2 linked regions of the Diceros bicornis minor genome follow. The protein of the gene in region 1 purifies or fractionates together with the protein of each later gene. This does not show direct contact. Links are inferred from orthologs where the notes say so. Each region holds a gene or a part of one and is shown in the gene's direction. Other genes may lie near its edges.

The links. The genes of interacting proteins can lie anywhere in the genome.
Region 2: the proteins of MAVS (region 1) and PLAAT4 purify together in Homo sapiens (affinity purification with western blotting; 4 studies listed by BioGRID). This does not show direct contact. The link is inferred for Diceros bicornis minor from reciprocal best matches to the Homo sapiens genes MAVS and PLAAT4.

What each region holds. Positions count from the first base shown.
Region 1 is NC_080758.1:32,224,787-32,232,694, forward strand, and holds the start of MAVS (mitochondrial antiviral-signaling protein), read left to right. Parts: upstream 1-4,901; 5' UTR 4,902-4,940; intron 4,941-5,170; exon of another isoform or gene 5,171-7,578; intron 7,579-7,908.
Region 2 is NC_080770.1:9,410,942-9,418,056, reverse strand, and holds the start of PLAAT4 (phospholipase A and acyltransferase 4), read left to right. Parts: upstream 1-4,114; 5' UTR 4,115-4,418; coding exon 4,419-4,436; intron 4,437-4,514; exon of another isoform or gene 4,515-4,598; coding exon of another isoform or gene 4,599-4,607; intron 4,608-7,115. UniProt on the Homo sapiens protein: Exhibits both phospholipase A1/2 and acyltransferase activities. Shows phospholipase A1 (PLA1) and A2 (PLA2), catalyzing the calcium-independent release of fatty acids from the sn-1 or sn-2 position of glycerophospholipids.

The sequences.
Region 1 (7,908 bases):
CATATATAACTTTTTTGTAATAAAATTGATGGCGTGGGGACCGGCCCAGTGGCATAGTGGTTAAGTTCGCGCGCTCTGCTTCGGTGGCCCAGGCTACGCAGGTTCGGATCCCAGGTGCGGACCTATGCACCACTTATCAAGCCATGCTGTGGCGGTGTCCCACATATAAAAAATGTAGAGGAAGATGGGCACAGATGTTAGCTCAGGCTCTAATCTTCCTCCCCCCCCCAAAAAAAATTGACAGTATGAAAAAATAAAATAATTTAAAGAATAACAGTTTAAAAACTTATTTGAAATGAGGTTGTAAAGGTAGGGATTATATTTTGTTTTTCAATGTTGGAGAGTTCCCTGAAGGGACTCAGACTGAGAACATGTCCCTTTTTGGGGCCCTCTGGCACTATCTTTGGGCCTGACTTGACTCTCTGGGGGGAAACGTGAGCTGGTGGTTGCTGAGTCATTACATGTGAGCCACAGCCCTCTGTAGAGCACTGGCCTGGGGATATGGGCCACCTGCCCCCGGATGAGCTTTACGGGGTGGGGGTGGGGTGGTTCCGAGGCCTTCCGGGGGGGGGGGCGGTGCTGGGGCACAGATCACTTTCTAGACTCACCTTTCACTAGTAAATGGACAATGATCAATGAATTCTACTCATGAAATAGGGCAGAATGCAATCAACAATAAAAGATAAAATAATATAAATAGCCAGAAAGGGTCAAAAGATGATTTTTAAATTTTAGTTTACTTTTTAATTTTCATCTTGAAATAATTTCAGACTTACAAAACAGTTGCAAAAATAATACAAATGTTTACATCTTATATAACCACAGTACAATGATCAAAACCAGAAAACTAACCCTGATACAAATTATTAACTAATCCAAAAGCTCTTAGTAAGATTTCATCATTTGTCCAACTGTTGTTCTTTTTCTTTATTCTTTTTTCTTTGTGAGGAAGATCAGCCCTGAGCTAACATCCATGCCAGTCCTCCTCTTTTTGCTGAGGAAGACTGGCCCTGAGCTAACATCTGTGCCCGTCTTCCTCTACTTTTTTATATGGGGTGCCGCCACAGCATGGCTTGACAAGCGGTGCGTCGGTGCGCGTCCGGGATCTGAACCCTGGGCCACCAGCAGCGGAGTGCGCGCTCTTAACTGCTACGCCACGGGGCCGGCCCCTGATGTTCTTTTTCTATTTCAGGTCCAACCCAGGGTGCCATGTTGCTTTCAGTTGTCACCTCTCTTTATTCTCTTTTAATCTGGAACAGTTCCTCAGTCTTTCCTTGTCTTTCATGGCCTTGACATTTTTGAAGAGTTATTCTGCAGTTCAGTGCTGTCCAATATAACTTTAACTGTCCAGTAGAACTTTCTGGGATGATAGAAAATTATAAAATCTATATCTGTGCTGTCCAATATGACAGCCATTAGCCACATGAAAATAGCATTTGGAATGTGGCTTGTAGGCTGAGGAACTGAATTTTACATTTTATTTAATTTTAATTAAAATAGCTACATGTGGCAAGTGGCTGCTATATTGGACAGGACAGCTATTGAATGTCCTTCATTTGGGGTTTGTTAGATGTTTCTTCATGATTTGCCTCCAATTGTGAGTTTTAGGAAGAATACTATAGATGTGATGTTGTGTCCTCCTTTGGTTCCCTGACAAAGGTGGCAGGAAATCACCAAGGCCAGGATTTTTACTGTGGCAAAATATACATAAAATTTACTGTTTTAACCATTTTTAAGTGTACAGTTCTGTGGCATTAAGTACATTCACATTGTTGTGCATCCTTCCCCACCATCCATCTCCAGAAGTTTTTCACCTTCCCCAACTGAAACTCTCTATCCAGTAGACACTAACTCTCCATTCTCCATTGCCCCCAGCTCCTGGCAACCAGCATTCTACCTTCTGTCTCTATGAATCTGACTACTCTAGATACCTCATAGAAGTGGAATCATACAATATTTGTCCTTTTGTGACTGGCTTATTTCACTTAGCATGATGTCTTCAGAGTTCATCCATGTTATAGCATTTGTTAGAATTTCCTTCCTTTTTAAGGCTGAATAATGTATTCTATTGTATGAATATACCACATTTTGTTTATCCATTCATTCATCAATAGACATCTGGGTTGCTTCTACCTTTGGCTGTTGTGAATAATGCTGCCATGAAGACGGGTGTACAGATATCTGTTCGAGTCCCTGCTTTCATTTCTTTGGGTATGTATCCAGAAGTGGAATTGTTGGATCATATAGTAATTCTATTTTTAATTTTTTGAGGAACCGCCATACTATTTTCCACAGCAGCTGCACCATTTCACATTCCCACCAGCAGTGTACAAGGGTTCCAATTTCTTCATGTCCTTGCCAACACTTTCTGTTTGTTTGTTTTATAATAGCCATCCTACTGGTTGATATCTGCTATAGACTGAATGTTTATGCACCCCCGCAATTCCTATATTGAAACCTAATCCCTAATGTGATGGTATTTGGAGGTGAGGTCTTTGGGAGGTGATTAGGTCATAAGGGTGAAGCCCTCAAGAATGGAATTAGTGCTTTTTTATTTCATTTTATTTTTATTTTATTATTTTTTTTTGTGAGGAGATCAGCCCCGTGCTAACATCTGCCAATCCTCCTTTTTTTTTTTTTTTTTTTTTTTGCTGAGGAAGACTGGCCCTGGGCTAACATCTGTGCCCATCTTCCTCCACTTTATATGGGACGCCGCCACAGTATGGCTTGCCAAGCAGTGCGTCAGTGCGCTCCCAGGATCCAAACTGGCGAACCCCGGGCCGCCGCAGCGGATTGCGCGCACTTAACCGCTTGCGCCACCAGGCCGGCCCCGAATTAGTGCTTTTTTAAATGAGACCTGAAAGAGCTCCCCTGCTCCTTCCACCATATGAGGTACAGTGAGAAGACTGCGTCTATGAACCAGGAAGTGGTCCTTATCAGACATGGAATCTGCAGGCACCTTGATCTTGGACTTCCCAACCTTCAGAACCAAGAAATAGATGTTTGTTGTTTAAGCCATCCGGTCTATGGTATTTTTGTTAGAGCAGCCCAAATGGACTAAGAAAGTATTGTGTTTTTGAGGATGCTGTATTTTTTTAATACCCTTCGAGTTCCAGCAAAGACAGGGGTGACAACTGCATTTGGAAGCCAGTCGCTACACTCCCAATGTTCTTCCTGCAAGAATTAGATATGAGGTCACTGGATTTGGGGTAGGTAGCAGGCAGGAGTAATTCTTGAACCAATCAACATTCACCCTGTCTTGGCTAAACAAGACAGAGCTGGCCAACTAACCTATGGTTAGTTGAGTTCAGGTGTGATATTAATATTTTGTAAATGCTGAACATTGTGAAATAGCCACAGGGTTACCAAGTAAAGTAATAAAATCTCACATGAAAAGAGTTCAGGCATCTTCCTGCAATTCGGTTTGGGAGTACTGGCTTTGGAGACAGGTATGTACTCAGGCATTTGCACATGATCTCTGCCAAATCTCTTAACCCCTCATTTGTCTTTCTTTCTTCCTTTTTAAGTTGCAGTATAAAGTGTAACAATTTTTTTGGTAACAATTTTAAGTGTAAGCTGATGCATTTTTATATATGCCCAAGCCCATGTACCCACCACTCACATCAAGATATAGAACATTTCCATCCCCCTAGAAGGCTCCCTTCTACCCCACCCCTCAACACCCAGAGGTAACCAGTGAAATGATTTCTATTTATGTAGATGAGGTTTGCCTGTGTTTGAATCTTACCTTGTAACTGGGGACAGACAGCAGGTACTGTTTGTGCTTGGCTTGGTTAGTCATGGTGCCCATTCATCCTGGTAAGATTCTTCCATGTTGTGTGTATCAATAGTTTGTTCTTTTTCACTGCTGTATGCTATTCCATGGTGTCAGCACACCACAGTTTGTTTCTCCATTGTCCTGCTGATGGACATTTGGTTGTTTCCAGAGTTTGCCTGTTGTAGATAAAGCCACTATGAACATTATCTATTGTGTGTGTTTCTAGGTGGACACATACTCAGGAGTGGTTGCTGGGTGATAGGGTTGGCATATATGTAACTTTAGTAAGAATTGCCATTTTCCCAAATTTTTTAACCTCTCTTGAAAACGGGAAAAATAAACCTCTACCTGGTTATTGTGAGAGTATTTAATGGGTCATAAGGTATAAGACTTTAAGCCTGTACCTGGAACATAGTGAACGCTCAGTAATTGCTGACCTCTGCCCCAGAGGAATGGTGAGGCTGTTGGCAAGCAGTGCAGGGAGGTACTGGCCCCAGACCCTTGCCTTAGGTGGAGAGGCCTTTCCCACACAGCACTCCGGGCCCACAGCCAGCGTGACTGGCGAGTCAACCTTGGCGCCCCTGCCCTGCACCACTTACCCGGCCCACCCCTACCCCGCCCCGATCCTGCTTCTTCAGGCCCAGCATGTGCCTCGCCTGGCTGGGCACTCGCGCCCCTGTGCACTTTGCTTGACACCCGAGGTTTACTGAGCACTAACTGTGTGCCAGGCCCTGGGCGCCCAGGAGCGAACGACATAAAGATCTTCACTCCCTCAAACTACTCCGCGGAGGAGGGGTTGCTTCGCGTAGGAAGCGCGGAGACCGAGGTGGCCGTCGACTCCGAGATCGGCCGCCCACTCGGTTTCTAGCCAGATCCTGGACTTCCCCTGGAAGTTGCTCGAGACAAAACAAGGAAAGAAAATAATCTGCTCCTCCGTGCCCCCCCAGGAACCCAGGTCTATCCCGAGCGCCCGTCCCGCGAGGCCAGGCTCTCAAACCACCGCCGAGCGCCGGGCGCCGCAAGGCTCTCGCGGGCCGCGAGCCCCGCCCCCGCCGCCTGGCCAATGGCCGCGCGGCCCGGCCCCGACCCGACCCCTCCCTCCCTGTGGGGGAGGGTTCCGGGCTGTCAGCGGCGGTCGGTCGCCGGGTCGTGGCTACCCGAGGTAAGCTGGCCGCCCCGGGCGCTCGGTCTTCTGGGCTCAGGGCGCACGGACGCCTTTCGGGGAGGTGGAGGTGGCCCGTGGCGGCAGGAGCCGAGGGGTACTTGGAGTCCGCCGGGGCGCACGTGGTGTGGGCGCGCGCGGGCCGGGGAGGGGGCAGGGCGGGAGGGGCTGGGGAAGAGTGGGACCTAAGGCACACGGGGCTTGAGGCAGCGAGGGCTCCACGCGCAGCATCCGGTACCGGGGTCGGGAGGTGGGTGGCGCGAGGCTTCTGCTCCGGATACAGCGAGGTTAGGCCAGGAGACTGGCGTCTGCTGCTGGGCTCCTCCAGCCGCCCGCAGGCCCAGGGTGACCCCGGGCGAGGCCTAGCCGGGGTGCGCAAACCTCTGGGGCCGCGGCCGCGCCTGGGGGTCGGGAGCTGCCGCCTTCCTCTGAGTCTTGACAGTTCTCGGTGGTGACACCTGCTCGGAAGAACAGCCTCCCCGTCCTCCGCGAAGCTGGGTCGGGCCCAGGAATCCAGGAATCGGAGCCGAGGTTGTGAGGCCTCGCCCCGCCCGCGGGGGTGGGTATTTCTTTCTGGAGCGCGCTCAGAGCCTCTGGGGCGGTCAGGTGGGAAACTCTCCTTGCCGCGTCGGTCCAAAACACTCTGCCAGCCATCTCGGAGACGCGACGGCGGTGCTAGGAAAACATTGGAAAACAAAAACAACCTTCTCCGTATGGATACTGTGGAGCCTCAAAAACGTCTGGAAGAACAGTCAGCGACCTTGGAACCGCGGCGGGCAGGGTTAGTGTCCTGCCCTGCCTGAAAGATTTCCATTTCCCACGAGAGAGAAAGGAATAAATGTTGCATCCTCTGAAGGGCACCCTCACCCAGGCAGCGGCCTTGGCCCCTCCCAGGGCTTGAAGCCAGGTGCTGTGTGACTCATACTTGCTGCAGGGGCGTCTATGCCCTGCAGTGTGTATGGTGAGCCTCAACGAGGCAGCAAGTCCTGGGTTCCAAGTCCTTTCAGGGCCACTGGTCAGCTGTGCAACGTGGCATCACTTCTCCTCTCATGGGATTGTGCCAAGGATTAAGTGAAAGAAACTTAGGATGTGCCTGCTTATAGTGGACCCTCAATAAATGTGAACAGCTACGGGCTTCCTTTCTTTTTGGTTGGACCGCATCATACCCCCATACCCCCCAAATTCTGTGCCTTACGGGCTGAGGCTAGGATGCAGAAGAATGTATCACTCGACTCTCTCCTGGTACCTCCCTGGATGCCATGGGGGGAAGGAGAAAAGGGTCTATTAGCCACCACAGAGTTGTTCTTTGCTCATCTGAAGTCTCAAAGGACCCCTGCCCCCACCATCCTCCTGACCTCTGTCATTAGCAGTTGCCCCATTAGGGATGTTGCGATACATTCCTGGTGGTTGGCAAAGTGAGTCATGCAATGTGAGGCTGTGATGCTGGTAGACAGGACTGCTGCCCCATTTCCCATGTGGTGAGGGATTGGTGGCCTCAGCAGCTTTTGGGCACTCTCTGCTCTGCAGCACTGTCTCCTAGGGGTTTCACCCAAGCCTGACACCCATGTTTCTACTCCAGCCTGGCACTCTCTCCTCTGCCGCCCCTTCCTTTCCTGAAAACCCACTGGGGCATCCAATAGCATCTCAAGCTTCACTTGTTCAAAATGGAACTCTGGAGTCCCCTCTGTGCCACTGCTCCTCTGCTAGATTCTTTGGACCAACCATCCACCCAGTGCCTGAGGAGTCACCCTTGATTCTTCTCTCTCCCTCACCTCCACATCCACAAAACGCCAAGAATCCAACCACCTCTCGCCATGGTTACCATCTCAGCCGTACCTGTACCTGTCGTGTGTCCCCTGCCCTGGCCTCCTGACTTGTCTCCCTGCTTCCATCCGGCCCCTCCACAGTCCAGGGTCCTTACAGCCTCCAGAGAAGTCTTTAACATAAGTCAAATCCTCTCCCTTCCCTGCTCAGATCCCTCCAATGGCTTTCTTTTGTACTCCAAATAAAACCAAAGTCCTTTCCTATAACACCCTACGTGAGTGGCCCCTCCCAACCCCTTAACCTTGATGTCTACCCCTCCCCCTAGCTTTCTAGACCTCCACCACACTGACCTGTTTTCTAACCTTTAAACATATCAAGTTCATTTCCACCGTAGGACTTCTCGCTTGCTGTGGCCTCTGCCTGAAACACCGATCTTCTCACAGCCAAGAACAGCTCAGCTCAAACGTTGCCAATGCAGAAAGGTTTCCCTGACCATCCCAGTTCAAGCAGCACGCCCTTCTCCAGGGGCTCTGTCTCATTACCCTGCTTTGGTTTCTTTATAACCTTTTTTTTTTTTTTTAATTTTATTTATTTATTTTTTCCCCCAAAGCCCCAGTAGATAGTTGTATGCCATAGCTGCACATCCTTCCAGTCGCTGTACGTGGGACACGGCCTCAGCGTGGCCGGAGACCTTGATTACTATCTGGGATTCTTGTTTATGTATATGTTTACTGATTTGCTATCTGTCCCACCCCAATAGAATATAAATTGGATGATGGCAGAGGTCTTGTCTGTCTTATTCCCTGCAGCTCTCCCCAGTGAGAGAGGCAAATAAGAAACAAGGAAACAAACACATCTGTAATCGCAGACTGTGGTAAGTGCCACATAAGCAAGCAGCAGCGATGGCCTGTATTCGAGGCACTTTGAAATTTCAAGCTTGTAAGGCTGAACTACTGTATCGTCCAAACAAGCTCCCTGAGCCATTTTATGGGTGAGGAAAAGCCTGGAAAAGACTGGTAACTTGCCCCGGCTCACACAGTGAGGGGAACTCAGCCTCCTGCCCTAAGAACATGTATATAGCAAGCTTTAAGAGTGGACCTGCGGTCGTGCTCTGCAAAGAACATGATCCTGGATCTGGAAGACCTCCGTTCTTTGCTCTTCCACTAACTAGCAAGCCCCCTTAATTTGTTGGTACTTCGTTTTA
Region 2 (7,115 bases), on another chromosome or scaffold:
ACACTCTCTGAAGGCCCAGACCTCTCTGCGGACAGGCCAACACAGTGAGGGTCATTTACAAACAGGTTCTGCTCCTGACATTTCTCTTACATCCTGTCACCTGACACTTTTGAGACACATGAGGGTGTTTACGAAAAAATACAACTCTATTGATGCAGAATAAGTTTCATTCGACAGTGAAGAAAGGTCTCTAGGATTTTATTTCCTCAAGGACCAGCTGATGGACTCATCAGAGCAATTACTGACCTTAGTTTACCAAAGGTTACTACTACTAAACTCAAGGCTGATGTTTAAACAGAAAACTGTGTCCCTACCTGGAGAAGCCACATGGACCAATGACTGTCCTCCAGTGATCACAGCTGGGGTCAAAATTGCAATCACGTGTCCAGGCTCTGGGGCTGTCTGCCATAGACAACCCAGGAGATGAAGAGAGAGGAAGGTGTGTAGACTAAGCCTCATCTTCCCCACCAGGCTCTGGTATTCCTGGGTGGATCCAGCCAAGTGCGAGCTCCTGTCATGCATAGGGTGCCCCAGCCTTGCTGTGACTCATGGGGGTGCTGCCCTTTGTGGGGGTGCCAGGGACTGGAGCCCAGGGAAATGCCTGCTGAGAGATGTGGAAGAGGCGAGTTTGTCCAGCTGTGTGTGTGTGTGTGTGCACGTGAGAATATTGTGTGTGCTCTGTAGACTGAGTACATGTGCAAATTGCTTTCTGTGTTTGTGCATGTGGACACATGTGCCTCATGAACAAGCATATTCAGTGTGTCAGAGCACCAGGCACAACCCAGGAGAACTTGGAGTTAGCTGTTTCCCCTTCCCTTTTTTCAGCCTGACCCTGAGGTCCTGACCGTGTTCCTCCTGCCCACTCTGTCCATGGCCATGTGACACAAGGATTCCCTTCTCAGATTCCCTCTCCAGCCCCAGGACACCAATTCCTGGGAGCTGACACCCAGATAGACACAAATTAATGGGACCTTCATGCTGTCTCCCACAACCACCCCCAGAAGGAGCCTCTCTTCCTCTCTCCATCAGGGAACTGCAAATCCAAGTATCTGTTGGGCAGTAGGGAAAGGGGTGCAGATTGGAGGGACCCTGCCTCCCGAGAGGAAAATCCTGTCGGTGGGGTGTGTGACACTGCTTTAGAGAGAAAGGCTCAATGTCCCCATAAGAATATTTTTGGCTCCAAGATACAGAACTAAATCAGATGTTCCTTAAATCTTCTGATTTTAGTTTCTACATACCGCTATCCATTGAAAGGAACCAGGCTCCTTGGACAAATGACTAACTCCAGGGTAGGGACAGGGAAAACACAAGACAAACGTGGATTATTGCTATGCCAAAAAGTAAGTGTTATAGGTTGAATTGTATTCTCCACAAATTTATATGTTGAAGTCCTAACCCCTAGTGCCTCAGAATGTGACTGTATTTGGAGATAGTGTCTCCAAGAGGTAATTAAGTTAAAATAAGGTCAATTGGGTGGGTCCTAATCCACCCGGTGTCTTTATAGGAAGAAGAGATTAGGACACAGACATGCACAGATGGCCAACCATGTGAAGACACAGGGGGAAGGCGGCCATCTACAAGCCAAGGAGAGAGACCTCAGAAGAACCCAACCCTGCTGACACCTTGATCTTGGATTGCTAGCCTGCAGAATCACAAGAAAATAAAATTCTCTTTTTAAGTCAATAGTATTTGTTACAGCAGCCCTAGCAAACTAATACACCCTATCTTCAAAATATATCAAGAATCGAATCACTTCTTGCTGCTCTGTTGCCTGGAAGACTGCAAACTGCTCTTCTGCCTTCCACTCTTGACTGCACAGGCTATTCTAAACACAGGAACCAGACACAGTCTATGAAAACTACACGAGTCAGAGCACCTCACTGCTGTGCTCCAACCCTCCAGTGGCTCCTGTCTAATTCAGAGTAAAAATCAACAACCTGAAAGGAGCCTGCAGTCCCTGTACATCAGGTTCTTGTTACCTCTCGGCTATCAACTCCTATGACCTGCTCCCTGGCTCCAGATACCCTGGCAGACATATGCAGCCTCAGGGCCTTTGCAATGGCTGCTTCCCTGCCTTAGACAGTCTTTTCTCCATCTACGTGAAGGGCTCACTCCCCACCTTCTTGTGTTAATTACTCAAAAGTCACCTGCTCAGTGAGGCCATCCCCAGCCACACTATCTGAAATCGCACCTCCCCATCGCTACCACCCCCATTCCCTTCTCCATTTTTTCAGACTGTGGCCATCTCACACAATATCTATCTTACTAAATTTTTGTTGGTCTACTCAGCAAGGAGGTAAGATCCACTATGGCACCGTTTCTTATCAGTCTTGTTCACCAATGGATCTCCGACTGCCTATGACAGTGCTTGACACACAGTAGGCACTCACTCTATACCTGTTGATTAAAGGTCCAAGGTGAGGTCCCAGCATATGTTGGGTATTGCACGAGGTAGTCATCTCAGAGTTAGACCCCCGACAGCCCCTGTCACTTGCTCACCTAGGGAGCAGTGCAACCTTGATGATGGGCACTACCTCTTCCCTCAGATGCCTTGTCCTTCCTGCTCTTCTGGTTGACATGGGAGGATGTGTTCTGATGTGTTACTGGCTAGCATGAGGGAAGACCCTAGAAATGTCCGTGGGCAAAGATGTGGAATAAATCCCAGAGCTAGCTGCACATTTTGCAGGGTGGATCAATGTCATAAATTGCTCAGGAGCTGATCAACCCTGACAGCAGAGCAGCTGAGGAGGAAAGAAGGCAGGAAGGGCGTGGCAAGTGTCACATCCCAGACATGGAAGCAGGAGAGGAGCGCCTGAAGGGAGAGGCACAGACCTCAGCTGCAGAATGCACCTCACAGCTTTAACCTGAAGACAGGCCTCAGTAACTGAAGTCCAGTGACAGAGGTGGCTCCAGCTGGGCCAACGATGACCAGAGCCACCACCCTTCTGTAGCTCCAGGTCCACAGGTCCAAGTCCAGACTCACAGCCTCTTGGCTGACAAAGATGGAGCCCTCACTCTTAAAGAGGAGGTAACTGAGATGAGGAGAGGGCAGGCAACTGCCCAAAGTGACACTACTTGAAAGAGACAAGGCCTGGCAGCTGACTTTTTTTTGCTTTTTCCATTTTGAACATGACCTTAATGCCGGGAGGTAAACAGCCAGTGACTCTCATGGTCCTTTTACAAATAAAGGTCACTTGGAAACAGAATGGGTGGTACCAGGCCTGAGGCCAAGGCCAGAGGAGCCAATGGACATTGGACCACTGTGTCTGGAGCTCTGTCTGGTAAAGGTAACCTGGGGCCAGGGGCTCACGTTGGGAGAGTCTGTGCCCTTCCTGAGTCCTCGGGGGCATGAGCTCGTTCTGATGGGGGCTCTGCCCACATCCGAAAGTGTGCTGCTTTGTCTTCGTATCTCCAGTGAGTCAATCACTCCCATTTTTCCTGCTAGGTCATATAGAGATGCAGTCTGAGTGTTTGAGAACTGGTTTCAGCCTCTTTGTTGCCTTATAATAAAGCTGTTTGTTATGGTGGATGGGAAGTAGGTGAGTGCATCTTATGTGCTGGTTTCCTAGTTAACAACCGTCTCTCTCCCCCACCCCATACACACACCACTGTCACTCAGCTTCTCCCAGGCTCACAGAGCCCTGCTGTTCACTGGGCAGTAGGAGCCCCTCCACAGATCCAGTTGACGCACTGTGAGTGGTCTGAGCCTGCCAGGAAGCCCCTTCCCCTTTGCCCACAATTGGTTTGGGAGTAGAAATGTGACCCAAATTTGGACAGTGAAAGATGGGAGTGAGACAGCCAGGGGACTATGGAAAAGACTTTACCCCCAGAAAAAAAGAGACAAAGGGTGAGAAACACCTTCCTTTACTGCTTTTGGACATTGCCAGGTGAAAATGTGCCACTTGAGGCTGCTGCAGCCATAGTTGACCACGCAGGATGTCACTGCAGACACAGGACCAGCATGATGGAAAAGCCTGGGTCTTCAGTGGTCTTGTGAGCTGCTGAACTGAAGCAGAGTCACCCACCTCCTGGCTTCCTGTTCCAGAGACAGTGAACGTCCAGGCTGTTGTAACCCTCTTCTGCTTCTCGCAGCCAAACGCATCCTATGGGGGCAATGATCTCCTGGGCCCCACCTGGTCCAAGGCACCCACCATCTGAATGCTTTTCCCCTGGAATACATCACCCTGTATGACCTGCCCCATGGCTTCTGACCCAATATTTCCTAGAGTCGTTACAAGACAATGGCCTATGGGGTGCACTGGGGGTTGACACCTCTGTGCCTCTAAATGCTGCCCCTTCTCAGAGTAAGAACACTTGCCCAGGGCTTTTTTTGGAAGAGACCTGGGGTTTCTCAAGCAGGAGCAGTTTATCAACCTTCCCTCCTACCCTGACTGCTTCCGGGTGGCTGTAAAGCACCAATGATTCCATGTTTTGAGGTAAGTAACCATTGGCCTTTCTGTTTAGTGAAAATATTTAGTCTCTCTTTTAAAAATGTTTAGTATTGAGTAGTTTTCAAACAGTGTCAGAAGGAAAGTGAAAGTGAAATTCTAAACTTTGATATAAAAGCTGGTCCGTGAACAGTAGAACCCCAGTACACCATGGCTCAGGTAAGTCTCCTGGAAATTTCTATCAGTGGTTCTAGCACAGGGCGGGGGGGCCACTCTGCTCCTATAAAGACCTCAGTCTGGGTTCCTGGACTTGGGCACAGTTAACTCTCGAGCATGCAAAGGCTTTAGAAGACTTTTATGGAACATTGTATTTGTTGTTTAAAGGTCCCTTTTCCTGCAGAACTATGAGGTCGTCAGTCTTCAGGCAGAGTGAGCCTCCTCTCTGTGTCTGGCACAGTGGGTTGGGGCATGCAGGGACCCCTCTGTGGGAAGAGCTGTGGGTGTCTGGGAGCTGTGGCTGCCCGAGTTGCAGGAAGAAGCTGGAGTGTGGCCAGGGTGGGACTCCAAGAATGGAAGTGAGTGAGCCTCCCCTTGTCTGCTTCAGCTGTTGGCTGGAGTTCCGTGCCTCCTCAGCTCCGGCCTTTTCTCTCTCCTCTTTCCTCCATGGCATTTGTCCTGCCTTATTAAGTGCATTTGAATTTCAGCGTTCTGAGTCTGAATCTCCTCTCTCATCAGCCCTGACGTCCAGATTCACACAGTTTCCAGGGAGGGGCAGGCGGAGCTCAGTGGTGTGTAGCTGAAAAGGAACAAGCTGACTTGGGCTATTATTGGAAACGGGGCAATTCTGGAAAGACACACATCACACTTTAGAGGGTCGTCCACCCTGTGTATCACTCAGTTCTGGGGAGGAACTTTATTGCTGCCAAAACCAAATCAGGGCTCTATTGCCTGGGCAACCATCTCCTTATCTGGGCAGAGCCCAAGCTCACATTTCATCTGCCCCAGCTGCTGTGTGCAGAGCCCAGGCCTTGCCTTAGTTAGTTACTTTCAGAGTGAAAAATTCCTTTGTGATTCCAAAGTGGGGATGGTCTCTGGGCTGCCCTGCCCTGGCTGAGTTGGAGGAGGAGCTGGACGGGCCCTGCTTATCCTCCAACCCTCTTCCATGTATATTTCCTTGGCCCCCAAGCCAGGCCCTTTGCCAAATCCTGGAGATGCAGGGTGGGAAGGATGAGTATACAGGATCCTGCCTGAACAGAGCTCAAAGCCCAGAGGGGGTGCAGACAGGCCCATGACCCATGCAGGGAGAGGTGGAGGTCCCGGGGGCCTGGGGACCCAGACAGTGGCAGCTGAGCCGGGCTGAGGCCTTCAGAGCAGTTTCTCAGGGGAGTGATGTCTGATGGGGGGAAAGAGGAAGAGAGGGTGTGGGAAGGTGTTTGGGGACAGAAATACCTGATGTCCAGAGCATCAGAGACAAGCACAGGCTCTGTGCTGAGAGAAAGGAAGTGATTCAGTCAGCCTGGCGGGGAGAGCAGAGGGAGTGTGAGGAGGGGTGAGGAAGGACGGGTCCTGAGCGCCTGGGAGCTGCCCGAAGGGCGTGCCCTGTGCCCTGAGGCCCGAGGAAGGTCATGGCCAGATGTGCCCGTTGGGAAGGCGACAGTGGGTCTTGGGCAGACGTGATGTGGAGTGGCAGGGACAGGAGGAGGGGGCCGGTCGGGAGGCTGTGGGGGAGTTCCTAGAATTCCCAGAGTTCCCAGTTTCCAGAATCTGGGCAACTCCCAGAATTGCCCCAGAAGCAGGGACAGGCCTGCCCCGAACCTAGTCAGTGGGCGGGAGGTGGACGAGAAGGGAATTCAGGAGAAACTTGCAGGGTCAGCATTGGTTGTTGGCTTGGCATGAGAAAGTAGACAAAGGTAAGCTGACCCCTGGTCTAAGACTGGACGGCTGAGGGATGGAGGAGGTTTGTCATTGGCTGAGATCAGGCACAGGGAGGGAGAAAAACTGAAGAATTCTCAAATCATGAAGCTGTGGTGCCCTGGGCCAGGACATTGAGGAGCAGGAAGGAGGTGTGGAAGGGGAGGAAGGCAGGGGAGAGTCAGGACCAGGGAGAGAAGTGGCAGAGAAGACCCAGCTCAGCCGCTTCCCAGCTGACTGTTCTCAGACAAATCCTGTCATCTCTCTGGTCCTCAACTTCCCACCTGAGCAATGGAGTGAGGCTTCCTTCCCTGGGGTGGTGTGAGGGTTGCAGTTATTGTAGAAAAAGGCCAGCAGAGGCCGGCTGTGTGAGTGCAGCAGCCCCCTCAGTGCTGTAAGCGGGGTGGCCCCACAAGGGTCCCCTCAAAGGCTCAGGTCCTATTAGGATGCTGTCAGTTGCTGTCTCTCAGGTGGGCATCTCCAAGGACGGTTGTCCCAATGCTGAAGGGGACAGAGTCTGAGGAGGAGGAGCCTGGTGCGGTCATGCACAACCAGGGGCAGGAGACGTGATGAGGACTTGAAAGTCTGTCTGGGAACGACAGGGAAGCTCAAGACTCACCTGCCCGACTTTGCTGGGGTTGGGCCTGGGACTGCCACATGCAGGCTGTCATGTTAACACGCTCCGGAGCACCTGCACAATGCACCTGCATATACATGTCTGCATCCTCAGTATGCACACATGCACACAAAACACACATACGCCATAACACACATACACAACACACACATACACAGTACACACACAGAACATGCACA